Linked DNA regions of Callithrix jacchus. The protein of the gene in region 6 purifies or fractionates together with the protein of the main gene of each other region. This does not show direct contact. Links are inferred from orthologs where the notes say so. Each region holds a gene or a part of one and is shown on either strand. Other genes may lie near its edges.

What was found.
Region 1: the proteins of CTNNB1 (region 6) and PTPRU purify together in Homo sapiens (affinity purification with western blotting; 3 studies listed by BioGRID). This does not show direct contact. The link is inferred for Callithrix jacchus from reciprocal best matches to the Homo sapiens genes CTNNB1 and PTPRU.
Region 2: the proteins of CTNNB1 (region 6) and PPARG purify together in Homo sapiens (affinity purification with western blotting; 4 studies listed by BioGRID). This does not show direct contact. The link is inferred for Callithrix jacchus from reciprocal best matches to the Homo sapiens genes CTNNB1 and PPARG.
Region 3: the proteins of CTNNB1 (region 6) and ERBB2 purify together in Homo sapiens (affinity purification with western blotting; 3 studies listed by BioGRID). This does not show direct contact. The link is inferred for Callithrix jacchus from reciprocal best matches to the Homo sapiens genes CTNNB1 and ERBB2.
Region 4: the proteins of CTNNB1 (region 6) and MYH9 purify together in Homo sapiens (affinity purification with mass spectrometry; 3 studies listed by BioGRID, with this or other methods). This does not show direct contact. The link is inferred for Callithrix jacchus from reciprocal best matches to the Homo sapiens genes CTNNB1 and MYH9.
Region 5: the proteins of CTNNB1 (region 6) and CDH2 purify together in Homo sapiens (affinity purification with western blotting; 18 studies listed by BioGRID and IntAct, with this or other methods). This does not show direct contact. The link is inferred for Callithrix jacchus from reciprocal best matches to the Homo sapiens genes CTNNB1 and CDH2.
Region 7: the proteins of CTNNB1 (region 6) and AMER1 purify together in Homo sapiens (affinity purification with mass spectrometry; 4 studies listed by BioGRID and IntAct, with this or other methods). This does not show direct contact. The link is inferred for Callithrix jacchus from reciprocal best matches to the Homo sapiens genes CTNNB1 and AMER1.

What each region holds. Positions count from the first base shown.
Region 1 is NC_133508.1:65,979,851-65,983,350, forward strand, and holds part of PTPRU (receptor-type tyrosine-protein phosphatase U), read left to right. Parts: intron 1-825; coding exon 826-966; intron 967-3,462; coding exon 3,463-3,500.
Region 2 is NC_133516.1:69,515,814-69,519,824, forward strand, and holds the start of PPARG (peroxisome proliferator-activated receptor gamma), read left to right. Parts: upstream 1-1,211; 5' UTR 1,212-1,326; coding exon 1,327-1,408; intron 1,409-4,011. UniProt on the Homo sapiens protein: Nuclear receptor that binds peroxisome proliferators such as hypolipidemic drugs and fatty acids.
Region 3 is NC_133506.1:120,178,185-120,181,684, forward strand, and holds part of ERBB2 (receptor tyrosine-protein kinase erbB-2), read left to right. Parts: intron 1-173; coding exon 174-306; intron 307-388; coding exon 389-479; intron 480-1,169; coding exon 1,170-1,330; intron 1,331-3,500. UniProt on the Homo sapiens protein: Protein tyrosine kinase that is part of several cell surface receptor complexes, but that apparently needs a coreceptor for ligand binding. Essential component of a neuregulin-receptor complex, although neuregulins do not interact with it alone.
Region 4 is NC_133502.1:207,356,032-207,360,294, reverse strand, and holds the start of MYH9 (myosin-9), read left to right. Parts: upstream 1-1,463; 5' UTR 1,464-1,514; intron 1,515-4,263. UniProt on the Homo sapiens protein: Cellular myosin that appears to play a role in cytokinesis, cell shape, and specialized functions such as secretion and capping. Required for cortical actin clearance prior to oocyte exocytosis. Promotes cell motility in conjunction with S100A4.
Region 5 is NC_133514.1:71,258,818-71,262,317, reverse strand, and holds part of CDH2 (cadherin-2), read left to right. Parts: intron 1-960; coding exon 961-1,107; intron 1,108-2,768; coding exon 2,769-2,924; intron 2,925-3,500. UniProt on the Homo sapiens protein: Calcium-dependent cell adhesion protein; preferentially mediates homotypic cell-cell adhesion by dimerization with a CDH2 chain from another cell. Cadherins may thus contribute to the sorting of heterogeneous cell types.
Region 6 is NC_133518.1:78,994,435-78,998,468, reverse strand, and holds the start of CTNNB1 (catenin beta-1), read right to left. Parts: upstream 2,801-4,034; 5' UTR 2,770-2,800; coding exon of another isoform or gene 2,133-2,769; exon of another isoform or gene 1,913-2,132; intron 1-1,912. Other genes in the region: uncharacterized protein LOC144579968, read left to right, coding at 2,133-2,769, 2,832-3,703. UniProt on the Homo sapiens protein: Key downstream component of the canonical Wnt signaling pathway.
Region 7 is NC_133524.1:61,521,405-61,525,620, reverse strand, and holds the start of AMER1 (APC membrane recruitment protein 1), read left to right. Parts: upstream 1-1,416; 5' UTR 1,417-1,518; intron 1,519-2,083; exon of another isoform or gene 2,084-2,381; intron 2,382-3,248; exon of another isoform or gene 3,249-3,370; intron 3,371-4,216. UniProt on the Homo sapiens protein: Regulator of the canonical Wnt signaling pathway.

The DNA.
Region 1 (3,500 bases), on a different chromosome or scaffold from region 6:
CGCCAGGGGAGCCTCTGGGCCAGAGCGCTGATGGGAGGAGGCCTGGTAGGCCTCCCTGGCAGGACGAGGGAGCAGGGAGCAGCGTCGGGGCCTGTCACTGCCTGGGGAGCCTGGGTTGGGGCCCCAGATTCTTAATTTATGGAGTTGGAAGGGATCTAGAGATTTATTCAGATTATGTATTGAGCCCCTCCAGGGTTCTGGGCAGAGACCATATCCTGGAAGCTCTGCTCTCCTGAACTTTGCTTTTAGGAGGTGGAGTGGGATAGTCAGGAAATAAATATACAATGAAATGTCATCACTGGGAACAATTTCTACAAAAACAGCCAGGCAGAAGTGTTTAATGTGGATTTACCTGTGTGGGAACAATTTTTTATGAGGTGGTAGGTGGTAGAGGAGGGCTTCTTTGAGGAGGTGACAAGCAAAGGCCAGAAAGAAGTGAGGGAGAGAGCCATATAGACATTGGGAAATTTGGCCTAGGCAGCCAAAATAGCAGATGCTGAGGTGCGGAGGCGGGGAGAAAGCTTGGCCAGTGTCTGCCTTGAGCTCAGCCTCGTGCCCAAGCTCCCCTCGCCACACCTTTGGAAGCTTTTGCTGTTCAGTTCTGGGGGGTCATGGGCTTGGTCCCCAGAGGCCTGGGCCCAGCCTGTCAACCCAGGCCTCCATGTGCCTGCCAACATCAGAAGTGGGCCACTGGAGGCAGCCTGGTCCTATGGGGCACAACTGTCCAATTCAGGGTGGGCAGGGTGGGAAGTCTGCCTGGAGCAGAGGCTCAGCTCATGCCAGGGGTCGGGGACAGGGCCCCGCTGAGTCCCGGTTTTTCTGCAGAGCTATACGCGAAGCGCGGCCTTCATCGTGACCCTGCACCCACTGCAGAGCACCACGCCCGACTTCTGGCGGCTGGTCTACGACTACGGCTGCACCTCCATCGTCATGCTCAACCAGCTGAACCAGTCCAACTCCGCCTGGGTGAGGGCTCCGCTGGCCGGGCTGAGGGGCTGCCTGCTGCCTGGATCCTCTGTGTTCAAGGGCATGGTCCCTAAAGTCAAGAGTTAGGTCCTAGCTCTGCCATCTGTTTGCTGTGTGATGAGTCCTACACCTTCCTAGAGCCTCAGTTTCCTCATCTGTCCAACAAGGGCATCAGATGGGAGACCACTAGTTGCTCTTTTTCTTTTTTTGAGACAAGGTCTTGCTCTTTTGCCCAGGCTGGAGTGCAGTGGCACGCTCACAGCTCACAGGTGTGCAGCCTCGACCTCCTGGGCTCAAGCCATCCTACTTCAGCCTCTGGAGTAGCTGGGGCTACAGGCTGCATCACCACGCCTGGCTAACTTTTTAATTTTTATTTTAGTAGAGGTTTACCATGTTGCCCGGGCTGGTCTCGAACACTTGGCCTCAAGTCATTCTCCCACCTCGGCCTCCCGAAATACTGGGATTATAGGCATGAGCCATCTGGCCACAGTCGCTCTTTACTGGCCCCCTGCTAAGCCAGGGACTATTCTGCACTCATGGTCTTATTTTAGAATCGATGATGACCTTGGAGTGAAGGCTTCAGTCAGAAAATTCAGACCCAAAGAGGTGCAGGGTCTTCTCCAGGGCCACATAGCTGGGGAGGGGCAGAGCTGCGCTCCAGCCTCGGCTGCCTCTTTCCAGAGCTCCTGCTCTTTTAGTCACTCCACTGAAGTGCCCATCACCGGGGCCTCCAAGGTAGAGTACAATTCCCACCTCCTACTCTCTGACTGTTTAATCTAGGGTAAGTTGACCTCTCTGAGTTTCACTTTCCTTCTCTGTAAAATGGGGGTCATCACAGGACCCGTTCTTTTGGGGTTACTGTGAGGACCAGGTGAGGTGTGCATAGGATGCGTGGCACTGCTCTGTCTGGTGTGCAGTAGGCATGTGTTACATGGCAGGGACAAAGATGATGAGGGTGACAGCTGCGTCTGAGGTTGGCTCAGACACCGGTTCAGTGACCTCAGCCTGGTGTCAGCCCCTCTGTCTCCCCCATTTCCCTTTGGAGCTCTCAAGAAGTGCAGACACCCAGTCTTGCAGCCCTGCTTGACCACGTGGACCCCTTCCCACCCCAGCTTTCTGCTGGGCCCAGGGGACCAGGAAGGTTTGCTGTAAAATGAGTACAACAGCTTCTTAATGGCCTCCTGAGAAGATTTCGGTAACTGAGCTCTTTATGAGTCAGGCACTCCGTGAAAATGACCCAGGACTGCAGGGTAACCGGCCTCAGCCCCTGGGTGCAGCAGGAATATAGAGGGGAGAGGCCCAGAGGGAGGCTCACACAGACATCATTCACTGGACACCGATTCGCTCATCTGCTCAACCAACTTTGCCCGTGAACTTCTCCCTGCAGTGGGCAGGGAGGACACAGAGGGAGAAGAGACACGGCGCCTCCCAGATCTCATGGTCCAGGAGGAAGCAGGTAGAAAAACTGACAGTGACAGCACAGACGAAAAAGGGCTATCATAGAGCTGGCACAGGGACAGAGAAGCCCAGGGGATCATGTATCAGGGATGGCTTCCTGGAGGAGGTAGTATCAGAGCTGAGATGTGTGGGAAGGGCAGAGTTAACTAAGTGAGGAGGTGGAGGAAGAGAGCCATGGAGAGGGAGCAGCATGTGTAGAGTTCTGAATGCACGGGGTTGCCAGGACATGAGGCAAAATGAGGAAGGTGCTGTCTGCCCATCGTGGGCTGTGGTTAGAGGGGATTGATGAGCATGGTGTCTTTTTGGAATAGGTTGGGGGTCATTTTACAGATGGGGAAACTGGGGCCAAGAGAAAAGAAGAGTCTTTCCTGGGCTCCAGGCAGAGCTGAGACTAGAAACTGAGGCTCAGGCTACTTAGCCTGGAGGACGTGTGTGTGTGTGTGTGTGTGTGTGTGTGTGTGTGTGTGTGTGTGTGGTCGGGGGGCTGCATCTCCTCTGTCCCTCCACTGTCCAGAGTCTGGGAGGTGGTTGTATTTAGGACCCTGACTCCAGGGAGGGGTCCTGGGGCAGAAGTGGGAATACTGAGCTGTGTTGAGCACCAAGGACACTGCACCTCTGTGAGCTGGTGCTGAAGGGCAGAGGCAGTGAGAGAGAAGGCTGTGGGGAGGTTCTGGGGTGGGTGGGAGTGTTCCAGGCCTAATACTGGAAGCAGGCAGCCTCACGCAGGGGTGTGTGAACCGGTTAAGATGTAGCTTTCTAGCTGCATAGCAGTAGGCATCAGTGCACTGTTTGTGAAGGGCTCACCTTGGCTGATCTGAACATGTCAGTACAGAATACATTGGAGCAGGTGGGCCTGGCAGTCTGTGGGTGATTGGTGGGGATTGGGGGGCTGCTGAAGGTGAGTCTGGAGTGGAGTCTGGGTGGGCCAGGGTATGTGGGAGCCACAGGGCAAGTGTGGAGCCCTGGGGGTGGGCATGGCTGTGGGCTGAGCCCCGGCCAGGCTCTACTCAGCTCTCACATCTCTGTGCGCATGCCCAGCCGTGCCTGCAGTACTGGCCGGAGCCAGGCCGGCAGCA
Region 2 (4,011 bases), on a different chromosome or scaffold from region 6:
TGGGGCTTAACGGCACAGTTGCCTAACTCTCTACTTTATTCTGTACTGTTCAGACCTGGCGAGCATTTCACCATCAAGCTCTTGCACCATGATTGACAGGGACACTTTTACTAGTCCTCCTGAAGAATGAATAGTTACTCAACGTAGATTAACCAGATATATATTTATTTTACTCAAGATAAGTATAATTCAGAGAATTATTGCCTTCTAATGTACTAATTGCCATGTGTAGGGGCGTCTTTGAAAATCTGCAATGTCACTGCAATTCTACTAGGCCATTCATGTGACAAGACCTGCTCCCACATCTGTAATTTGGCACAGCTAGTGTTTCTCCTTGCCAAAAAGGGCAAAGGCCTTGAGCAAGAAGCCAGCTTTTTTCCTGATTACAAAACTGACCACAATTCCTCGCCAACCTAATAGCGTATAAGTCTATTTTTTTCTGGTAGTGTGTTCTTCTTACAGAGAACTCCATTTTTTCATTATGACACAGCACTTATCATTTAAACATCAATTGATGTTCAGACATCAACTGATGTAACATTGCTGCAGTTGCAATTGATGGATAAGCTGAAGTTTTTAAGAGAACAAACTGTGACATATAAAATTGAAACCACATCAAACCCTTCTTCATTCTCTCAACTATTTAATTTTACAGAATTTGGATAGCAGTCAGTATCATTTTGGGCTTCACAAACAGTAGAATAAATACCTTAGGAATATAACATTTCAGTAGCATGCTGATACCAATGTTTAAACTATGGATACATATTTGAATTCCAAAGTTTTCTTCAGATAATGTGATTAGAGATTCAACCAGGAATAGACACCAAAAGAAAACTTTGCCCAAATAAGCTTTCTGGTATTTCATAAGCGAGAGATTTAAAGTTTTCCATTTAATAAGCAATTGATGTGAATTTTATGACAATAAAAATGCAAGGCGATATTGAACAGTCTCCGCTCTTATAATTCTAAATACTGTACAGTTCACACCCCTCACAAGACACTCAGCATGTGGGTCACTGGCGAGACAGTGTGGCAATATTATTTTCCCTGTAATGTACCAAGTCTTGCCAAAGCAGTGAACAACATTATGACACAACATTTTGTCAGAGCTGGCTCCTAACAGGACAGTGCCAGCCAATTCAGGCCCAGTCCTTTCTGTGTTTATTCCCATCTCTCCCAAATATTTGGAAACTGATGTCTTAACTGATGGGTGTATTCACAAATTCTGTTACTTCAAGTCTTTTTCTTTCAACGGATTGATCTTTTGCTAGATATAGACAAAATATCAGTGTGAATTACAGCAAACCCCTATTCCATGCTGTTATGGGTGAAACTCTGGGAGATTCTCCAATTGACCCAGAAAGCGATTCCTTCACTGATACACTGTCTGCAAACATATCACAAGGTAAAGTCTCTTCCAGATACGGCTACTGGGGACATGGGGGCATTTATGTAAGGGTAAAATTGCTCTTGTAGTTTGTGTTCCAAGTCATGTTTGTTTTAATATTATCATGTGTACACTCCAGTATTTTAATGCTTAGCTTGCTGCTATGGTGTTCACTTAAAAACATATTCTGAACCTTAAAAAAGAAAACCTAAGCTAATCTGTATTTTATCTCTGTGCATGGCTTCCATTTCCTGAAATTTAAGCATTAAAGATATATCCAAAAAATCTTGTTCATTTTATTTCCTGAGTTTGCATACATTTCCCAAGAAAATGTAGGGCTCTTTAGACTTGAAGGGTCACTTTTTCCTCCTTTCATCTTGTATGTTACAGATCTCTCATAACTGTTTTTATCTCTCTTGCAGCACTTTTATTCTTCTTGAAGTACTCTCAGCTCTTTTCTGTTCTACTTTAAATCTAGATAATTGTGTGTGCACTTTAGCTCTCCCAAAGAATTGTAAGCTCCCAGAGTATGGGGCCAAGTGATGCTCTTCATTAGATTTCTTAGGATACCTCCTAGCATAATGCCTAATGCATTGTAGAAGAATAGCTTGTCGGAACCTTGAAAAATATCTGTTCCAAGCATCACATTTTACACATGAAGAAAATGAGGTCCCTAAATGCCTACTGCATACTAAATAAGTGATTACCTATTACTTCTCTTCAGATATGTCAGAATCAGATACCTTCTTTTCAATATTTCTTTCCTGGCCATTGCAAAATGTAATTTCTATGGCTTCTTCTATTGGAGTTTCTTAGCACCACCTCTACTGTTTGGTATTGTCTCATATCGATGTCTATATTTCTATTCATTTTCTTTTTCTCTTCTCGGAGATTCTGTGTAAAAATAGATTGTTAACTGGTGTGATTCATGTTTTATAATATAACTGCTAAAGCATTAAAATTAAATCACTTAATTGCTGAAATTGATGACTTTACATTTTAACCTTTTAATTTTCCTGGAAGCCTTAAGTTTGGACATATTAATCATAGTTTTTAAAATATCAAGCTTATTAAAAACTAGTAAAAATTGTTTCCTGAAATACTGTTTTATTACAGTCATTTGATTCAACATATATTTATATCATCTAAGCCTCTTAAATAGGAGTTTTGTTTTATTCCATAAAATGCTGTTATTCTGTTTTTCTGCAAGCCATAAAAATTGTTGCTATCTTTCTTCAGTTATTAATTTAGCCTGCCTCAGGGCAAAATGTCCTGGCTATACTATGAAATAGTTCTTGAGTCAAAATTTGATAGTTTTGTCTATTTGAAAAGAACATGTCTAGAATGCAGTACAACAAATATCAACAAATAGGTTAACTGAGAGGCAAGTACTATTTGTGGTGAGGATGGTTGTGTGATTCAAGTTAGTTTTCATTCTCTGCTAATCTCTATTTTTATGCTTTGAATTTACCCTGAGTTTAATTTTTTTTGAGTCTCAATTACCTCTAAAAGAATGATGTAGTACTTTTCTTCCTAATTAACATAATACAGAATAGAATTATTAGCAATTAAAACATTATATTTTATACTAATAATTTAACCCTTGTCTTATAGGGTCTCTGGCTACTTTGTCTTCATAAGCACTGCTTCTCTATTAAAAATGTGAGCTCCTAATGGCCAAAGATCTATGATTGTTACTCCTATTACATTTTATAAATGACCCTTAAGTAATTACTCCATCCCTTCCAAATCAGACAAAAATAAATTGGATATCTGATCATCATTAGCCAAGGCCAGCGGAGTTGGAACACTGTGAAGATGAGGCATTTCACCTGGGTACCGTAGTCCACTTAGTTGCTCCTTCTTCCTCATCATAGACAAAGTGAAATTGGGGTTTGTTGCAAATGGCTGAGTACTGCTACTGAAGAAAAAGTGGCACATTTAGTGTGAATGACTCAGATGTCCAGGTAGATTGAGTATATTCATGAGGTTAAAATCTCAACTACACTTAGCCACTATGCCCAAAGAAGACTTACATACTTTTTCCAAGGCTCCATCATTGCTGTGACCCCTTTATATTGTTCCCTTTTCTTTTTTTATCAAGAGCTCCTCAAGCAACCCCAAATAACCTCATGCTGGCTTTGAAACCATTTCCACTAGTAGAAATTGGCAGGATCGAAGGGAAGCTTCCACAAGCTCAAGCTGAATATGCCTTCTGCTTTTAGTGCCAGACCTAGTCCTGTGTGAATTCTACAATTTTAAGTTGTTGCACCAGAGCCTTGAAGGATGATGACACACTTGTCCTTTGGAGCTGATTGAGCAATGGAAATATGCCTTAGAGACATGATAAATGCTGCAATAGATAGTCCTTCAAAACGAGTCTCTCCTGAGATAGGAGTGAGTGATTGATTGCACACCACTTTTATCAAGTGATACTTAATCTGTGGTTACATAGCTCCAGGCAACCATAGACTCAGAAACATTTAGATAACTGACCAAAGTTTTTACCTTTTCAGAAGTTTAAAGGGATCTTTGTAGTACCAGGGAACATAAGGATGAATCCTGTCTTGGCCACATATTTGCTGTGTGAATTTGAGCACCTCATTTTACTTCTCTGGCCT
Region 3 (3,500 bases), on a different chromosome or scaffold from region 6:
CCTCCTTCCCTCCCCCTCTGTTTCTGAAATCTCAGAACTCTTCCTCTTCCTACATCTGCCCCACCTGTCCCCACCCCTGCTGCCAAGAGCCATGCCCACAGCCAGTTCCCTGATTCACTTGGACCTAGGGCCTCCCCTAAAAATCCCCCGTCATCCCTTCTTCCTCACTGCAGTGGGCAAGGATCTGGCCTGCCACCCGCTGTGCGCCCGAGGGCACTGCTGGGGTCCGGGGCCCACCCAGTGTGTCAACTGCAGTCAGTTCCTTAGGGGCCAGGAATGCGTGGAGGAATGCCGAGTACTGCAGGGGTATGCAGGGCAGAGGAGAGGGGCGGCTGGAGGGGTGCAGGCGGCTCCTCTCAGACCCCCTCACCACTGTTTCTTCTCTCAGTCTCCCCAGGGAGTATGTGAATGCCAGACACTGTTTGCCGTGCCACCCTGAGTGTCAGCCCCAGAATGGCTCAGTGACCTGTTCTGGACCGGTGAGCTGCTGGCAGGCTCAGAGCTGGGTGGAGGGAGGCAGCGAGGGGGCATTGCCAGGGACTTGGCAGGCTGGCAAGACGTGGCAGGGTGTTCTGTCTGGTAAAATATCCCTGGAGAGGGCTCAGCGCTCAGACCTGAACAAGCAGCAGGGTGGCAGGAGAGGGGCCCTTCAGACGATGAAAAATTCCAGAGCTCTGTTCGTGGCCGTGGCTGTGCTAGGGTGGTTAGCCCTGTGGGCTCAGGTGTCAGACTACCTGGATTCAGATCCAGGTCCTGCTTCCAACCTTGTTTTTTTCATTCTGAAAATGGGTATTGTAATAGTACCTGCCTTGCTGGGGTGTGGCGAGAATGAAATTAAACAGGGCTTAGCACAGCAAAGCACGGGAAAGGCTAGTTCTACACAGCAGTGACTGTGGTTACTCGATGTTACACCTTAGGTAATGCATTTTCCTCTCTGGGTGCCTCCCATTCTCTGGCTGAGTCCCCGCCCAGGATCCAGCTTGGAGGAGGGCCTTGAGGGAGGGGCCACAGAGACTGGGTGAAGAGCAGGAGTGTTTGTCCCAGGTGCACAGTGAAAATTGCTGCTGTGTGGCTGTGGGAAGCAGGAAGTGAACCCAACCAGGGACCTGACCCTGCTGCTCTGGGGGTGTCAGTGTCAGCCCCCCACAAACCTTTTCTAACCCCACCAGGAGGCTGACCAGTGTGTGGCCTGTGCCCACTACAAGGACTCTCCTTTCTGCGTGGCCCGCTGCCCCAGCGGTGTGAAACCTGACCTCTCCTACATGCCCATCTGGAAGTTTCCAGATGAGGAGGGCACATGCCAGCCTTGCCCCATCAACTGCACCCACTCGTGAGTCTGAGGATCCTTTCTGCAGAAAGAAGGACTTTACTTTCAGGGGCCTCTCTGGGGCTCTTATTATAAAAGGGGGCCAACTCTCCCCTTGTCACATCTTGTTTCTGATGACAAAAGCAACACATTGTGAAAATTGTAAAATTAAAACATGAAATATAGATTAATGTCAGCCGGGTGTGGTGGCTTACGCCTATAATCCCAGCATTTTGGGAGGCTGAGGTGGGTGGATCACAAGGTCAAGAGATTGAGACCATCCTGGTCAACATGGTGAAACCACGTCTCTACTAAGAATACAAAAATTAGCTGGGCATGGTGGCGCGCGCCTGTAGTCCCAGCTACTCAGGAGGCTGAGGCAGGAGAATTGCTTGAACCCAGGAGGCGGAGGTTGCAGTGAGCCGAGATCGTGCCACTGCACTCCAGCCTGGGTAACAAGAGAAAAACTCAGACTAAAAAAAAAAAAAAAAAAAAAAAAAAAAAATTAATGTCCTAGCAGTTCTATCCTCACTGTTAATAATTTGAATTATTTTCTCTCTAGTTATTTTTGTCTGTGCATATTCTAATATGTATATATATAGTATATATGTTAGCATGTATTAGTATTCTCCAGCTATTTTTCTCTGTGTACATTCTAACATATATATATGTATGTGGTTTTTTTTTTGTTGTTGTTGTTGTTTTTGAGACGGAGTTTCGCTCTTGTTACCCAGGCTGGAGTGCAATGGCGCGATCTCGGCTCACCGCAACCTCCGCCTCCTGGGTTCAGGCAATTCTCCTGCCTCAGCCTCCTGAGTAGCTGGGATTACAGGCACGCGCCACCATGCCCAGCTAATTTTTTTTTGTATATTTAGTAGAGACGGGGTTTCACCATGTTGACCAGGATGGTCTTGATCTCCTGACCTTGTGATCCACCCACCTTGGCCTCACAAAGTGCTGGGATTACAGGTGTGAGCCACTGTGCCTGGCTGTTGTTACTTTTTTTTTTTTGAGATGAAATCTTACTCTGTCACCCAAGCTGGAGTGCAGTGGCGTGATCTTGAGATCTTGAGTGCTACCATGGCCGGCTAATTTTTGTATTTTTAGTAGAGACGGGGTTTCACCATATTGGCCTGGCTGGCCTCTAACTCCTGACCTCGTGATTCGCCCGCCTCGGCCTCCCAAAGTGCTGGGATTACAGGCACATGCCACCTCACTTGCCTAATTTTTGTATTTTTAGTAGATGGGGTTTCACCATGTTAGCTAGGCTGGTCTTGAACCCCTGGCCTCAGGTGATCTGCCAGCCTCAGCCTCCCAAAGTGTTGGGATTACAGGGGTCAGCCACCATGCCCAGTCACATATTTATTTTTACCAAATAGAATCATAGACTGTAACTATTGTTTGCAAAGTACTTTCTTTTTCTCATTTTCCAGAACCTTGCAGTGTTTTTCCATGTTCAAACATGTTGATCTACCTTATTCCTTTAATTTTTCTTATGTAGGTGTCTTTACACATGAAACACATGAAGACATCCTTGTGATAAACATTTTCAGTAACATAAAAGTATAAATGTTACAAAGCTAATAGGCCCTTTCACTCAACTCCCTGCACACCCAGCCTCTCCCATCCCCTGGGGGAGAACCATCCTATTGACTTGTGTTCAGCCTTCCCGGGTCTTCTCTACATGCCTTCTTAGACATATTACATTTACATTAGATCGAGTCAAATAAGATTGCTGTTTGTTTGAACCAAAAATGGTCAAGAGGCTGAACATGGTGACTTGCACCTGTAATCCCAGCACTTTGGGAGGCTGAGGCAGGTGGATCACTTGAGATCAGGGGGTCGAGACCAGCCTGGTCAACATGGCGAGACCCCATCTCTACTAAAAATACAAAAATTAGCCAGCTACTCGGGAGTCTGAGGCAGGAAAAAACCCGGGAGATGAAGGTTACAGTGAGCCGAGATCATGTTGCACTCCAGCCTAGGCGACAGAACAAGACTCTGTCTCAAAAAAAAAAAAAAAAGTCAGGAAACAGCAATTTTATATAGTTCCACTTATCATCAGATTTGTGTGCATGTTCATTTTGCAATGTACGTGGGAACATTCTTTGCATACTCTTCTGCACTTTGCTTTCCCCACCACTTGTGGTATCCTTTCTTGTGAGTACAGACAGATCTACCAGCTTTATTTTTT
Region 4 (4,263 bases), on a different chromosome or scaffold from region 6:
AAGTGCCTTGAAAACCTTAACTCAGGTTGGGCACAATGGCTAACATTTGTATTTCCAGTACTTTGTGGGGCTGAGGTGGGAGAATTGCTTGAACTCAGGAGTTCAAGACCAGCCTGGGCAACACAGTGAGACCCCATTTTTATAAAAAAATGATAAAAAAAAGTAGCCAGGTGTGTTGGTGCAGCCTCCCACGTAGTTCCAGCTACATGCGAGGCTGAGACCAGAGGATTGTTTGAGCCTGGGAGGTTGAGGCTGCAGTGAGCTGCGTTTGTGCCACTGCACTCCAACCTGGGTGATAGAGAGAGAGACTCTGTCTTAATCAATCAATACACCTTAACTCATTTAATTCTAACAACAGCCCATGGAATTCTTTACAGTTGAAGAAAGCGAGAATCAGAGGGTAAAGTAAGTAATTTGCCTAAGGTCGGACCACAACTAACTGGGTAAACTAGAATTCCAATTCCAATCTGTCTAACCCAAGTGATACTCTTTTTTTTTTTTTTTTTTTTCTGAGACGGAGTTTCGCTCTTGTTACCCAGGCTGGAGTGCAATGGCGCGATCTCAGCTCACCGCAACCTCCGCCTCCTGGGTTCAGGCAATTCTCCTGCCTCAGCCTCCTGAGTAGCTGGGATTACAGGCACGCCCCACCATGCCTGGCTAATTTTGTATTTTCGGTAGAGACGGGGTTTCTCCATGTTGGTCAGGCTATTCAGGTGATCTGCCCACCTCTGCCTACCCAAGTGATGGGATTACAGGCGTGAGCCCCCACACTCGGCCCCAAGTGATACTCTTAACCACCAAGCGTAATGGCTTGCAAAGACCATCGTGTTTTCCATTTGACTAGCCACTGGTCCTCATATCGTAGCTGGAAGGGCAGTGTTATTATTCCCATTTTCCAGATGAAGAAAATGAGGCTTAGAAAGGTGACGCGGATTGCCTAAAGTCACATAGCTAACAAGTGGTGGATGCAGAATTTGAACTTGACTCTTGTTCTCTGAAAGGCTCTGACCCGCAGCAGCAAGGCCTTGGTTCTCCTGCTGACTCAGAGCAGCGTGGCTATGTCTGCAGTGATTTCTCTCTGCGTTCGACTACGTGGGCACCGGGCACCTGGCACCTGGCAAGAATTACGCGGAGGGAGGGAAGGGGTCAGGCCAGGGATCAGGCGACATGACCTGCAGCCTCCTGGAAGCCTGGGCCTGTGATTGCAGGGCCGTCGGCCTCGCTTCAGCAGTCTTGATGGCTGCTTGTTTCTCAGGCTCCTGCAATTTCAGCTCTTCCTGCGGCAGGAGAAACGTGGCAGAGCTCCTAGAGCATCGTGAGAACCGGAACTTGGGCGACCTGCGGCGCCTCCGCAACCATTGGTTGTCCTGAGGGTCGGGGACGTGTGTCAATTTGCATAACGTATTCGATTGGCTCATGAGACGGAAGTGGGCGTGCCCAAACGAACCCACCTGTCCGTGGGTGGAGCGCGCAGGACTTCCGAGCAGGAAGGGTGGAGGGGCTACCTGGCTGCGGTGAGTGGGGCCGGGCAGGGACCTTAAACCTCTTGGCCGACGCGCTCTCGGCCGCACTGCCTGTGTAACCTGAAACGGCGGGTGTGAGGACTCACTGTAAACAGGAATAGGCTGGAGCAGGACACAAAACGTGACATTGGTTACTTCTTGGAGTGGGCAAATTATGGAAAGGAATTTTTAATTGTAAAACCTTTTATACCCAAACTAAATCATGGGAGACTAGTGAAACATAAATTAAAAGGGCGGGCGCGGTGGCTCACGCCTGTAATCCCAGCATTTTGGGAGGCCGAGGCTGGTGGATCACTTGAGGCCAGGAGTTCAAGACCAGCCTGGCCAATATGGGGAAACCCTGTCTCTACCAAAAATACAAAAATTAGCCGGGCGTGGTGGCAGGCACCTGTAATCCCAGCTGCTCCGGTGGCTGAGGCAAGAGAATCACTTGAACCTGGGAGGCAGAGGTTGCAGTGAGCTGAGATCCCACCGCTGCACTCCAGCCTGGGCAACAAGAGTGAGACTCCATCTGAAAACAAAACAAACAAAACAAGGGAAGGGGTCAGCTCTGGAAAGTGACATTGGTTTTCATTTGGAATAGGGCTTTAGCAATGGCATCTTTGTGGAGGTGACATTTTAAGAGTGTCCTGAGTGAAATAAGGGAGGGTGCCATGTAGTATCTGGGAAAACTGCTCCCAGTTGAGGGACAGCAGGAGGGAGTAGCTATGTGCCTACTCAGTGCCCAGAAAATAGACGAAATTAAATTGGACAGTGGAGGAGGGGAGAGGAGATGGTCACTGGTCCAGACATCTTAGATTCTCTAGAAGTGGCCAGCCTGGCCTCTACCCAGGTGACTGAGCTGCAACCATTTAGCAAAAGGTTTGGAAGTCACATCCAGTGAGCTAGAGTTCTCTAGGGAGGCAGCAGGGGATTGCAGGAAAGAGAACCTGGCTATGGGTTCTGGTCCCAGTTTCGGTCTTTTTTTTTTTTTTTTTTAATAGAGACAGACAGGGTTTCACCATGTTGACCAGGCTGGTCTCGAACTCCTGGCCTCGAGGGATCCACTTGCCTCAGCCTCCCAAGGTGCTGGGATTACAGGCTTGAGCCACTGCACCCGGCTGACGGTTTCAGTCTTTAGGAGCCACTTTGTCTCCCGGAATTTCACTTTCTACCTTTAGTATGGTTATAAAGTCCAGCTTGCCGGTGTGTTGTAGGGACAATGGTATTAAGAGCTGCCATTTTTTTTTTTTTTTTTTCTGAGATAGTTTTGCTCTTGTTGCCCAGTCTGGAGTGCAATGGGAGGATCTCGGCTCACTGCAACCTCTGCCTCTCATGTTCAAGCAATAATCCTGCCTCAGCCTCCCAAGTAGCTGGGATTACAGGCATGCACCACCTCGCCTGGCTAATTTTTGTATTTTTGTTAGAGACAGGGTTTCACCATGTTGGTCAGGCTGGTCTTGAACTTCTGACCTCAGGTGATCCACCGGCTTGGCCTCCCAAAGTGCTAGGATTACAGGCATGAGCCACCACGCCCGGCCTATTTTACTTTTTTTATTATGTTTTGAGGCAGAGTTTTACTCTCTCACCCAGACTGGAATGAAGTGTTAGGATCTCAGCTCACTGCAATCTCCATCTCCTGGGTTCAAGCAATTCTCATGCCTCAACCTCCCGAGTAGCTGGAATTATAGGCATGGACTATCGTGCCCAGCTAATTTTTGTAATTTTAGTAGAGACAGGGTTTCACCATGTTGGCCAGGCTGGTCTTAAACTCCTGACTTCAAGTGATCCTCAGCTTCAGGTGATGCCTCAGCTTCCCAAAGTGCTGGAATTACAGGTGTGCACCACCATGCCTGGATAATCTTTGGATTTTTAGTAGAGACGGGGTTTTACCCTCATTCGCCAGGCTGGTCTCGAGCTCCTGACCTCAAGTATCTTCCAGCCTTGGCCTCCCAAACTGCTGGGATTACAGGCATGAACCACTGTGCCAGCCAAAATGCTGTTTTTGACATTGCCATGGGTAAAACAGCCACTACAGAGTCTGGCACAAGTGGTTTGCCCTGAGGGTTGCTATTGGAATGTAATTAATTAGGCAGCACACACGGAATTGCTGAGCCCTGAGCCCTCCGTGACTTATTAAGGTCCTAAAAACCACACCTAGCCCTAATCCCTTTGCTACTTGGCTCTCAGGCCAGGCTCTGACCCATCATCCCCATCTCAAGGCTAAAAAGCAGAAGATTAGCTAAGAAAGTCGGTCCTGAGGGCTGGGTGCAGTGGTTCACACCTGTAATCCCAGCGCTTTGGGAAGCCAAGGCAGGTGGATCACCTGAGGTCAGGGGTTCAAGATCAGCCCAGCCAATGTAGTGAAACCCTGTCTCTACAAAAATTACAAAAATTAGCCAGGTGTGGCGGTGGGTGCTTGTAATCCCAGCTACTTGGGAGGCTGAGGTGGGAGAATCCCTGGAGCCCAGGAAGTGGAGGTCGCAGTGAGCCAAGATCGTGCCGCTGCACTCTAGCTTGGGCAACAGAGTGAGACTCCCTCTCAAAAAAAAAAAAAAAGTGTGTCCCAGAGCCACATGGCCTGGGCTTGATGCCTGCGTCTGCCACTTACAAGCTCTGTGATCTTGGCCAAGTCACTCAGCCTTTCTGTGTGTCAGTGACCTCGTTGGTAACATGGAGAATCTAAGCTCTACCTCACAGGGTGTTGTAAGGATTACAGGGGTAAACCTATGGAAGTGTTTCCAGAAAGTGCCTGGGGCAT
Region 5 (3,500 bases), on a different chromosome or scaffold from region 6:
TGGACTATGGAACTATGCCTACCTACTACTTTTGTTTATACTTATTATACTGTGAGAGATAGAAATAAACATATTCATTTCTGGTATTTAATTGTAAATGTAATATACTCACAATCAGACATGAATAATGTATCAGAGGAAAATATATCATTTTTCTCTTATTTCAGTGTTGTGGTTTTATTATGTGAAATTCAATTTGTTAATCTATTAACTGTTCAAGGAAGTCATGTCATTTGGGTAATATAAAGTGAAAAACCAGTAACTAATGGAGTGAAAAGATGCTTTTGTTGTTGATTTGCTATGTTCCAGCAAACTAGCTTGGATATTTGCACTGAAGCAGCAAGGGCTAATGGTGAAAATGTCTACAGATAGAGGGAGAAGCAGAAGAAAATGTTGACATCGAGCAGAGATTAATACCTAATGTGCAAAGTGGGTCATCTACAGCATCCATCATGGCTGACATAGGTTTAGAATAATTACAGCATTAATTCTGTGGGATTTAATAGGGTCATAAATATTCGAGACATTCCTTAGCAACATGTATTAAACTTCTCTTGGAATTCAAATTATATTTTAGCACATCAAGATCTAAATTTAATGTACAGTAGCACATTACCTGAACTGTGGTTTAAACTAATGAGAAATATATAAAAGGGTACTATTAAATTTTGCTCAGTATTAACTACTATCTAAGAAGGTTTATAGAAACTGCAAATAGTTTACACAGCTGTGCCATATAAAAAATTGTTTAGAATTCAATTTTTCAGATACAGTGTAACCCAAAAATTTTATGGTGTTTTCTGTTATATTAATAGGGGGCCAGGGAAAAGGGCCTCCAGACATTTTTTGTTCATAATAAACTGTGATTCCCACGCTTTCAGGTATTCAATAATATTGATCTACTTTCAGAAAATGTTTTTCCTAGTATTCAGGAATGTGTTATTATATTTTAATGTAAAGGAGTCAACAGAAGTTGAAGAAATAGTATTCCCAAGACAATTAGGTAAGCACAGTGGCCACCTACAAAGGCAGAAGAGAGACTGGGTCATCCCTCCAATCAACTTGCCAGAAAACTCCAGGGGACCTTTTCCTCAAGAGCTTGTCAGGGTAAGGTGGCACAATTTTAACTGTTTTCATAGCATAAGCCAAATGTATATTAGAAATATTTCTATTTTGTTTTTAACGAAGTAGAGTTTATGACATGTATATACTTAAAGTGTTTTTCTGTATAGATAGAATTTCTGTAATGTTGAGAAAGCCTCTTCTCATTTTCTTTGTTACCTCTCGGATTATTTATAAGCAGAGCTCTCTTGTAGGCCCTGTACACTGTGGATTAGAAAGCTTGTTCAGTTTGTGACTACACAAGCCCTAAAGCCAAGATACATTCCCATCCATACCGTTTCTACCCTCACAACACACACACACCTAAGCTTCCCTGTCTGAAAGCTGGGCTCTCTGTGATGATCTTTGCCCTCTACAGATAGTTTTTGGGCCACACAAAAAATAAAGGGCCATCATTGTTAAAAATGCCAGCATCAAAAGCATTTGAGAGTTTTTTAAAGAAAAGAATGACCTCTGATACCATTAACAGAATTCCCAGGGCAATGTAAAATCATAGGCTTTCAAAATCTGTATTTTTATTTACTCTAGATACATGCCATCAGCTACAAAAAGAAAAATGTAGATATTTTTGCACTTTAGTAAACTTAACAACCCATTATTTATTACAAAAGGATAGTAAGACAAAGTTGTTGTATTGCCATTTATTAAAATACAAATGTTTCTATATATGATTATTTTAGCATTCTAACACATACTTACTGAAAGTTTTTTAAAAAAATAAGCCACTTATTTATGTTGTATATTCTGTCCAAATGTACATTATAATTAAGTTTAACAATGAATATAACTGAAATGAAGATACTCTTTCTTTTTCTGCTTTAAAAAGTTTGAGAGAAAAGAGAATTTTGCTTTAACCTAAAAGAAAAACAACTAGATTTCATTGATGGATTAAGTGGAAGTACCTAGTACATGAGGATCTCTTATTATTTCTCTGCGCCTCCCTCCCTTCATCCCCTTTCATAGCCTGGTCTGTCTCCTGCGACTGCACATACATTGACTTAATTTTCCTGAGAGTAGTTGTACTTGGAGAAGGCAGTGAGCCTGTAAATGGTATAATGTTTGCAAGCATAAAAATATAAAAATATATTTTAAAATGCTTTCTTTTGTACTTTATTATTAATGAAAATGTCAGGTGTCACTTTAAAATGATGTGGAAAGCTTTGGTTGCAGTGAACAGTGTTAGTACAATGCAAGTACAGAAATCTGACATTCAGGCTGAACCATAACTGTGTTAGAGTTCCATTTGAGGATATTTCACACTATGGAGAGAATTCATTCTTGTTGTTACTGATGCAAGAATGTAAACAATGTTTAAATCATCTAACCTAGAAACTCCCAGGACAGAGTTTGATTGTTTAAATTAAACTGACACTTGTAGATTTGGAACTTTTGCCCTGCTCCTAGTGAGTCTTCTTTTAGATGTTAATGTTGCCTCCAGTCTTTCCAGTGATAGATGACATCTCTTTTGAAGCCCATCACCAAAAAGCAGAGGAAGAACAGGCACTAGGAGAGAGTTTTAGTGATTTTCTGGGAAGAGATAGTGTAAGTTTGGTAGCTGAAAAAGGACATGAAGTGTGATGTGCCCCATCTCTGGTAATGAGCTCATTTAGTTTGTCATTTAATGTGATTGTTTTCTTGATCCTCAGATCAGGTCTGATAGAGATAAAAACCTTTCACTGCGGTACAGCGTAACTGGGCCAGGAGCTGACCAGCCTCCGACTGGTATCTTCATTATCAACCCCATCTCGGGTCAGCTGTCAGTGACAAAGCCCCTGGATCGCGAGCAGATAGCCCGGTTTCATGTAAGATTCCAACCAGTTGATAAATCTATGTATTAACACTTCCTCTGAATGTCTGCAGAGTTTACCATTTTGTCTTACGTCGGTCTGAAAGCCTCGATACTGAGTTTTAAGAATTGCATCTGTAGTCTTTTAGTTTATTTTAATAATTTTATTGTTTTATAGAATTGATAAATGCTCTAATAGAAAAACAAATAGTGCCCACAACAAAGAAGGAAGTGAAATCGCCTAAAATTTCATTACTCTGTTAGTAACTCTCTACTCTGTTTAGTAGAGACAGAAACCCTGTCTTTACTAAAAATACAAAAAAATTAGCGGGGCATGGTGGTGGGTGCTTGTAATCCCAGCTACTCAGGAGGCTGAGGCATGAGAATCTTTTGAACCCGAGAGGCAGAGGTTTGCAGTGAGCCGAGATCACACCATTGCACTCCAGCCTCAGTGACAGAGCAAGACTCTGTCTCAAAAATAAAAACAAAAATCCATTGTGCTCTGAGAGCAATGCCTAGCATATAGAAAATGATGGCTACTTGCTACTGTATCTATCCTAATTATATGGACTTGGCATAAATTTAATTTTGA
Region 6 (4,034 bases):
TAGGCTCAAAGTACAAACTTAAAATTTACCACCTACTCATCTACCATTATTGGTTATCAGCAGCTAGGAAACCACCAAAGAGAAATAAAATAATCTTGTAACAGGACAGACGTGTTATTTCATTTCAATAACACTGAAGTTTCATTTAACTGAATATGTAGTCTGTTGCAGGAGTTGTAATTTCACTGCTACTTATAGTAACAAAATAATGATATTGAAACTGTGAATTCTCCACATCCCTAGTTTCAACAATATTTAGCATGCACCTCTCCCCACCACGCCCTATAACAAAAAAGGGTATCTATGACAGTTTTTGGTAACACATTTCAAAATACTCTTAAAGAAACTTGCCTCCTCATTTTCTATCTTGGTGGCGATGTTATGAAAACAAGCACAGAGACCCTCATTTATGCCAATTTTTATCCAGTCATCAGGAACAGTAAGAAGCTCAATCTGATAATTTTAATATTGGCAATACACTTTTCTATATCATCATCTTGGTAAAGGAAATAATCCAGTAACAGTTTTAAAAACCCCTCGATACTCTGAAACCTGAACACTGTTAAATGCTTCATTTTTTATTAGCCGCCTTATTTTTTTTTTAAGTTGTTTTCTCCTGAAAACTTTTAAATGGTTGCTCTGGTCTGTGGGAGACTCACGACTCCTGAGGACTCTAAAGTTACATGCTATACTAAGCTCTCTAGCACAGGTTTTTACTTCTCCCCACCCCCAGGACTTCAGACTTGAATAGTTTCAGCATTCCTTTAATCCTACAGAAAAGACTTCTGAAAGTTTTTCAAGTTATTGTTGCAATAATCTCAGGGCCTTGTCCTTGTACATGGCCTTCAGAACAAAGGTTAGGTCAAATTAATGAATATTGGGCGCAAATTAACTAAATTTTGTCTGGTGTGAAAGGACATCCTCAAACCCTTAAAGGTACTTTTTTTTAATCAGAGATTTTTCAAAGATTTAAATATAAAAGTAAAATAAATGTCGCAGCAGCCTTAGTTCAAACGAAACGACTCCAAAGTAGAAATTTATGTCAACAATTTAAGCGGATAGTAATATAAATAACACTTCAGGCTATATTTACTATTTCTCAGGATGAATACAAATCGATCGACACGAAGACATCTGAAGGTACTGAATGTTCGTTCACCAAGTGACAAACACTGAAATGGCTTCCTAAATTCCAGACAAACTACTTTACAACTTAGCGATCTGAAAAACATTAGCGTAGACATTACCAAAGGAAATGCTGCCGTCCCTTCAAGCCTAAGCCACCATTATTCACGATACAAAGCTCTCATTGCACTAAAACCACTCCTCGATTTCCTTTTGCCGACCTCTGCATACCAGCAGCCTGGTCTTTCTTCATTCACCACTCACAAACTCGAGGGGTGGGGGGCCGGGGACGGGGGAGACCACAGATGTCTGCAAGATACAAAGTATGAGACAATGTCCCTCCACAAGGGAACAGAACGAAGGGAACAACTACACCCAGTGCCAAAGCTTTCCAGCTTGGCAGATTCAGAAGCGGGCTATAGGAACTCAACTTCGAAAAGTCTCGGTTCAAAGTCCTCTCTCCAGACAAAACAGAGAAGTTTCAACTGCTTGAATTGCATTTGGCCGTTTTGCAAAGAAGGAAAATTTCATTCACTCCGCTGAAAAGAAAACGTGCTCTAAAAATCAAGTTTAGCTGCCATCAAACTATTTGAATAAATTTAAATTATTTCAAACGAACAAAATCCTCGAAGCGGTCCGAGTCAGAGGCCGAATCCTGCAGTTTACGTGGTAACAAACAGTGAGCCATCACCTTCGCCCTTCCTCCACCCCCTTGTTTCACTAGGGTCTCATGCCCACTACCATAAACCCAGAAGACTCCCCTACTTTATCCACCGCTTTCACTCACCTGCACGGTACGCTAAAATAGTGCAAGACACGGATTTTCTACGTGCACACCCTACTGACGCATCGCACCGACCGCACTCAGAGTTTACTCTAAGGTTTAAAGTTGCTTCGATTCAAACTCACACAGGCAGGGCATTACCAAAAATTAATAATAATAAAATTAACACTTCTATTCTTCCGAAATCTTAAGAGAAAGTCCACTCGGCGGATCCCCAGGACAGATGGGACTTAGGGTGGCGCTCCGGCCTGAGCCCCCGAACCCCAACTCGCCGCAGGAGCTGAAAAGGCGGAGCCCCCGGTCCCCACCCCGCCCCCCACCCCACCCCGGGCCCCAGCGCATCCCGAGGCACAGGGTCCCTCCCCCAAACTCGGCCAAGGCCGGAGCCCCGCACAGAAACCACAGACCCCCACCCCCACTCCCACCCGCCGGCCATCCGGGCTCCTGGACGCGACCCCGCGGCACCCCCTCCCTGCAAGCGATGCCCCCGGGGCCCCTGAGGGGCAGCGCGACCGGAACCCGGGCCCGGCCACCGCCCTCCGCGCCCCGGGCGCGTCCCGCCCCCGCCGTCCCCCACCCGAACCCCCGCTCCCCACCCCAGGCCTCCGGGCTGTGCCCGGCCCGGCTCCCAGCCCGCCGCCCGGACCGCGCGCCTGCGACGAAGTTTGGCTCCGAGAGGAAGCGGGAGCAGCCCCGGAAGGATAAGGAAAGGAGCGCCCAAGCACCTCAGGGGAACAGGCTCCTCCCGCCGCGGGAGTCCAACCGTCCTCGACCTGCGGTGGCGGCTCGGCGGGCACTGAGGCTGCTCGTCGGACCTTCCTCCGTCTCCGCCTCCCCTCGCTCTCCGCTCCCGGGGCCGGGCTACCGCGGCTGCCACAGACCGAGAGACTTAAAATGGCGCCGCACAAGGAGCTCTTATAAGTCGCGCGGAAGCCGCTGTATCCTGCCGCCGCCGGCACCGCGCGGAGCGTTCCGCCGCGCGAGGACACGGGGCGGGGCGCGAGAGGGCGGGGGAAAGTAGTCCCGCGCCGCCAGCCGTGCGCGGCCCGGCAGTGCGCCGCCGTGAGAGCGCTCCGGGTCGGGGCGGGGGCCGCGCTCGCCGCGGACGCTCCCCACGGACGCTCCCCGGGCGCAGGCTGGCGGCTGCCTGCTGCGCGGGACCGGAGGGCGGCCCCGGAGGGCGCCGTGGTCTGCGTCGGGGAGGCCGGGCCCCTGCAGGCCTGGGTGAGGGAAGGTGGCCCCGTCTCCTCCCCCGTCCCAAGCCCGACGCCCCCGCCCCGCGCGTTTCCCGAGCCGGGAGAGCAGCTGCAGGACTCGGCGCGCCTTTCCCGCGGCCTGCGGAAGGTGGCTCCTCGGCCCCGGCCCTCGGGGGCCGCGCGGGGCGGGCGGGACGGGTCCTCGGAGGGCGGAAGTTCGGGGCGCTCCTGGGCGCCGCCGCCGCCGCCGCTGCCCCGTCGCCAGTCTGCGGACTCCCGGCCCGGCGCGGGTGTCGGGGCCTTACGACCTTGCGGTCTGTGCCGCGCACTCCCTGCTGGACCTGGCTGGCAGCCCAGTCTCGCGGCACCCAGAGGCCCCCCACTGTCCGGATGGTGGGTCCCCCCCCGCAGCGGGCGGCTCAGCTTGAGTTTCGACCTGAATCACCGGGCCAAGCCGCCCTCGATCCCGCTCGCGAGGGCTGTGAACTCCCGGAGAATGGGCGCCAAGCCCGCAGTTCAACAAGTCCTTCTGAGTACCTACTGTGAGCAAGTAACTAGTGGAAATGGATTCGCTCCGGAGCACTGTCCATTAGCTTAATTATTATAGATTCCATTTTTATCTGGTTCCACTTGTCACTAGGTATCAATAGATTTATTTGTGGGGATTTTTTCTTTGGAGAAGAAGGTTTTTACGGTATTACTTGAGAAACCAAAGTATGTTTATAGAAAAAGCGATCGATTAGACAGCCTCTAATATTTTTAACTGACTTTAAAAACGTTTTTTAATTAATTTTGATAGGCTGAAAAATGTTTCCCATTGTAATGCAGCAAAATTGGCGTTTGTCAAAGCTGCAACAATTACGATCGCTTCACTTTCTCTATTCTATTGTTTGTGCTTATTTTTCCTCCAAAACATTGGAGAGAGTACA
Region 7 (4,216 bases), on a different chromosome or scaffold from region 6:
TGCCTGGAACTACTTCGAGCCTGCCACCTGACTACTTCGCACACCTCCTCTTGCCCTGCTTCCACAACTGAGACTGCTCTGGCCTTTTGTTTCCCTGAATCCCAAGTTTATAAACTGCTTCTCCGAATCATAATCTTGGTCTGATTCAGTGAATCAAAGTTCTGAGTAAAATGTGAACAAGTTGCAGTGACCAGAGGCATGAGGTAGGAAGGAGATATAATGAAGGTTCTGGAAAAGAAAAGACACTTCAAAATCAGGCCCACAAATGAGAATCAGGACTTTGCGAAGCAGGAAAGCATAGCCCCAGGGAAACCTTTATAGTCCAGCCATCCTGATGGGAAAAAGTTGCATAATGAGCCAGCAGCAGCTCCTTACTCCTCACCATTTATTTAGACTGGGTACTAGGATGGGACTCTAATGTTCAGTATTGAGTTTTGCTGGCAATGTATTTAATGTCATGAAAGGTGATGGAACATATATGTTTTCCATAATATTCCATGGAAAGTCATGGAATATTATAGAAAGAAAATGAGTTGAACTGTCAGATCTCAAAGATATCAAGGGGGCCTGATGATGCTTACCCTCTCCTCATGGTGATGGGGTGATGGACTGGCCCAGAGAGGAAAATGAATTGGCCAAGGTGTCTAGCAAGTCTAAGGTAGAGGTGGAGTCAGATCCCTAGCAGCTATGTCAGTTCTTGTGCTCCACCCATGCAGAGGCAGCAGTCCCCCTCTTACCAGTTCAGCAGCTGGATCTTTTCAAGACTGCCAGGACTCAGAAGCAGCAGAGAACACTCCTGCAATGCAAAAATAGCACACATTGTTCTCTAATCCTTCTCCCTATCATTAACTTTAATCCCCCCACCTCCCTTTTTAGACACACAGAGTTTTAGGGCTGGGCCTTCTGGATATTCTTGAACTAGTGGTAGAACTAGATTCTTTGTTGCCTCAGCTCACCTGGCCCTGGCAGCCACTAATGCCACTTAATGTCCTTAAGCTAGAGACCCAAGTTCGGCTGGCTCCCTGCCACATCCTACACACAGTAGCAGACAAGGCCAGTACAGGCCTCCTCACTTTGTCCTCAGGCTGACCTCCGGTTTGGACCCAGACAAGATTTTCCTCTTAATATTTAGACTTTTCAGGGAAAAAGGCCTGCACAAAGCCAGGCTCACAAAGGATTGGGGGAAAGGGGACTCTGGAGACCTTGGAGATTCCCTCCACATTCCATAGAAGGTGGGAAATTTGGGTGAGGGTTAAACTATGAAAACAGGTATCATCTCAGAGAAGAAAAGTGAAAGCAATCCTGGAAGGGGAGCCCGGGGCTCTGGATTCCAAATTGGCCCGTGTCGCCGGCAGGCTGGGTAACTGTGGGGAGGGGCTTTCCCTACTCTGGGCAGCAGAGTCGGGGCAACACGTCAGTAACGGGTGGAAGTTGGCCTTTACGGTCTCTAAGGGCCCTGGTGTGCCAGAGAGGAGGACGAAGTTGGGGCGCAGGCGCTGCAGCTGACTTTCCTGGCAGGTGAGTCCCTCCTCCGGGTGGCCTGGGGCACGATTCGCAGGGCCTTGTCTCTACGACTAAGGATGGGCAGGCCGAGGTGCTAAGAGGTTCTGCAAAGTCCCTCAACCTCTCTGCCTCGTTACTCCCCGCTGGCCTCTAGCTGAGGAATGAATTGCCTGGTGGCGGCCAGGGCACAGTAGAGCGAATGCACAGCGGCCACGGAAATAGGAGTGCGTGAAAACCGAAACCGAGCTCCAGGGATCCGGTGAACCCCATCCGGGCAGGAGCGGCTCCTTGAGGCCACGGTGCAGCCACGCCACTACCCGCCCGGCGTGGGGGCAGGAGAGGGGAGCCCCAGCCAGGGGTTCCGCACCCTCTCCGCCCCCTGCCAACACCACGCCCGTACTTATTTGCATTTAAAGAGAAACGCACCAAGGAAAACAGTGGGCGGGCCGGGCACGCCTTCTCACCATAGTGATTGGGTCATGCCCCTGCCAATCAGGACGCAGATGCCCCACCCAGTGGCCATGGAGTACGGGGGGGAGGGGGTATGGGGGAGCTACCCAAAGCCTGGGGAAGGGGAGTCAGTGCAGGAGGTGACTGGAGCCGCGGCGGTAGGGGCAGCAGCTGCGGTGGCGGCGCTCTCAGCCGCGGCAGCCTAGGCTGCAGCCCGGCCAAGGGCGGCGCAGCGGACAATAACCGCGCTGGGAACCTGACCGGGCCGGGTAAGCGTTGCGCACAGCCAGGAGCCTCCGCCTGCCAGCGGTCGGGTGCATTCCCGCGTGCTCTGCTCCTACGGACTGGAGGAGTGCACTGAGGACTGGGCGGGTCGGAGTCCCGGTCTCTCGCCCCTCTCCTTTGGAACCCGCTTTGCGGACTGTCGGGTAAGAGGCCGAGCGGCCTGAGTCCCCTGGGCACAAGTGACCACCGCTGGGGGGAGGGGGGAGGGGAGGGCGGATAGGCAGGCAGGCTAGCCTGGGCCATCCCTCCCGGCTCTCCCGAGAGGCGGAGATGGGCCCGCACGTGCTGCCGCATAGTCCCGGGAAGGGCGCCTCCAGCCAGCACCCCAAGTCGTGCATTTGTAGGCCGGGAGCTCCGCAGCTTTGTTGTAGCACATTTGCTGGAACAGCTGTGTTACACGGGTACTGCTCACCCCGGCTGCCTGGCTGCCGCCCCTCTCCTCCCCTGTGCATCTCCAGCCTGTCCCTCCTTTCTGCGGACTCAAGCTGGCGTTCTGGCTTGGGCCCGACAGAGACCGGCTTTGGCGTAGATTAAGACATCCACAGACTGCCCCCTCCCCTGAGGAGTTCAGTCGGGCCTGTGGGCTGAGCTCAGTTGCACACTTCCCTTCAGAACCTTGGCCTTGCGGCCCCAACTAGCCGCGCCCCTCCTCCTGGGCCTCCAGGCGCATCTGGCGCCCGCCCCCGCGGTCGGGCAGGCTGGCTGGCAGCCGGGCTCTTGCTGGTCCTTGGGTTAGAGCAGCGGCCCAAGCTAGTCCTTGAGTTAGAGCTGCAAGGCCGCTTTGTCTCCCCCCTCGCCTCACCTCCTTTTCCCTTGGAAGATACTGGCCGCTTTTTTCTCTGCAGCCTCTGGTTTAAAAATAGCGATGGACACGGTGTTTGGGGGGGCACTGGCTTGCCAGAAGCCGAAAGGTCCGTCATTGTAGTACGAAACGCATCATACCATCTCCGTGTGTACAAGAGATCTAGCGAGGTGGCCAAACCCTCCAACTTCGCAGTTACTTAACATACCCAGCCCGCCAGGCCGCTGTCATTGTCTGCTGGAGGCACTTCTGACACTGGTGATCGCCCGAACGCTGGACTTTGCTTGCGCTCCCCCAGTGGTGAGGGGCTGGGCCGGCCGCATGCGTCACAGCCCAAGCACCTAGGCGGCAGCTGAACTGGCCCCGCAGAGCTGGTCTCTGTTTGGCCACGTTCCCCTTGGCATGGGACGTGGGGTCAAGGCAAGCCTTGTTCCGCACACAGACACCTCCCTCTGCGGCTCTGCTTGCCTGCTGCAGCGGCATGGGCAAGGTGGAGGGCAGGGCACTGCACTGTTGGACTGCCTGCCCCACTGGGTTTCAAGCAGAGCCCCCTTCCCCAGTGCAGCTCCCCTCATTCAGCCCCACGCACTGTACAGTTACTGCACCACGGTGTACCTCTGGCAGTGAGCTCTTAGCCCTTTCTGAGGAATAGGACAGAGGAAGCAACTGAGGGGCTTGGTAGGCTCTTCTTGGACCTTTGATTAACCTCTGGTTTGGAGAGCCCTTTGGGCTGCAGGGCCCAGGCAAGCTTTGGTGTCTTTGAGGAGGGGCAATGAGACCCAGTAAATCCCTCACTTGGGGGAAGGCTAGATATGGACTTTTATGACAGGAGCCAGGACCACAGATATTACACTACAGTCACCCCCTCCCACCTTGATTAGGCCCCAACACAAACCTCTACTTGCAGCTGGGCATCTCCATCCCAGGGCTGGACCTGCCCTCTGCCTTGTCTCAGGCCAACAGGCACCTAATGTATGTGCTCTATGTAACTCCCTTGCACACGCTCAAACCCACTCAGCCTACACCTGTCCAAATCTTACTTCTCAGACCCCAGTTCTGGGCCTACCTTTTCCTTGGTGCCTTTTCTGCCTGGGTCTTGCCCACCCATGTTGACTTCTTTCTTCTCGGAACTCCTCCAGGGCTGCTTACTTCTCCTGGGCATATTCAGGCCTAAAT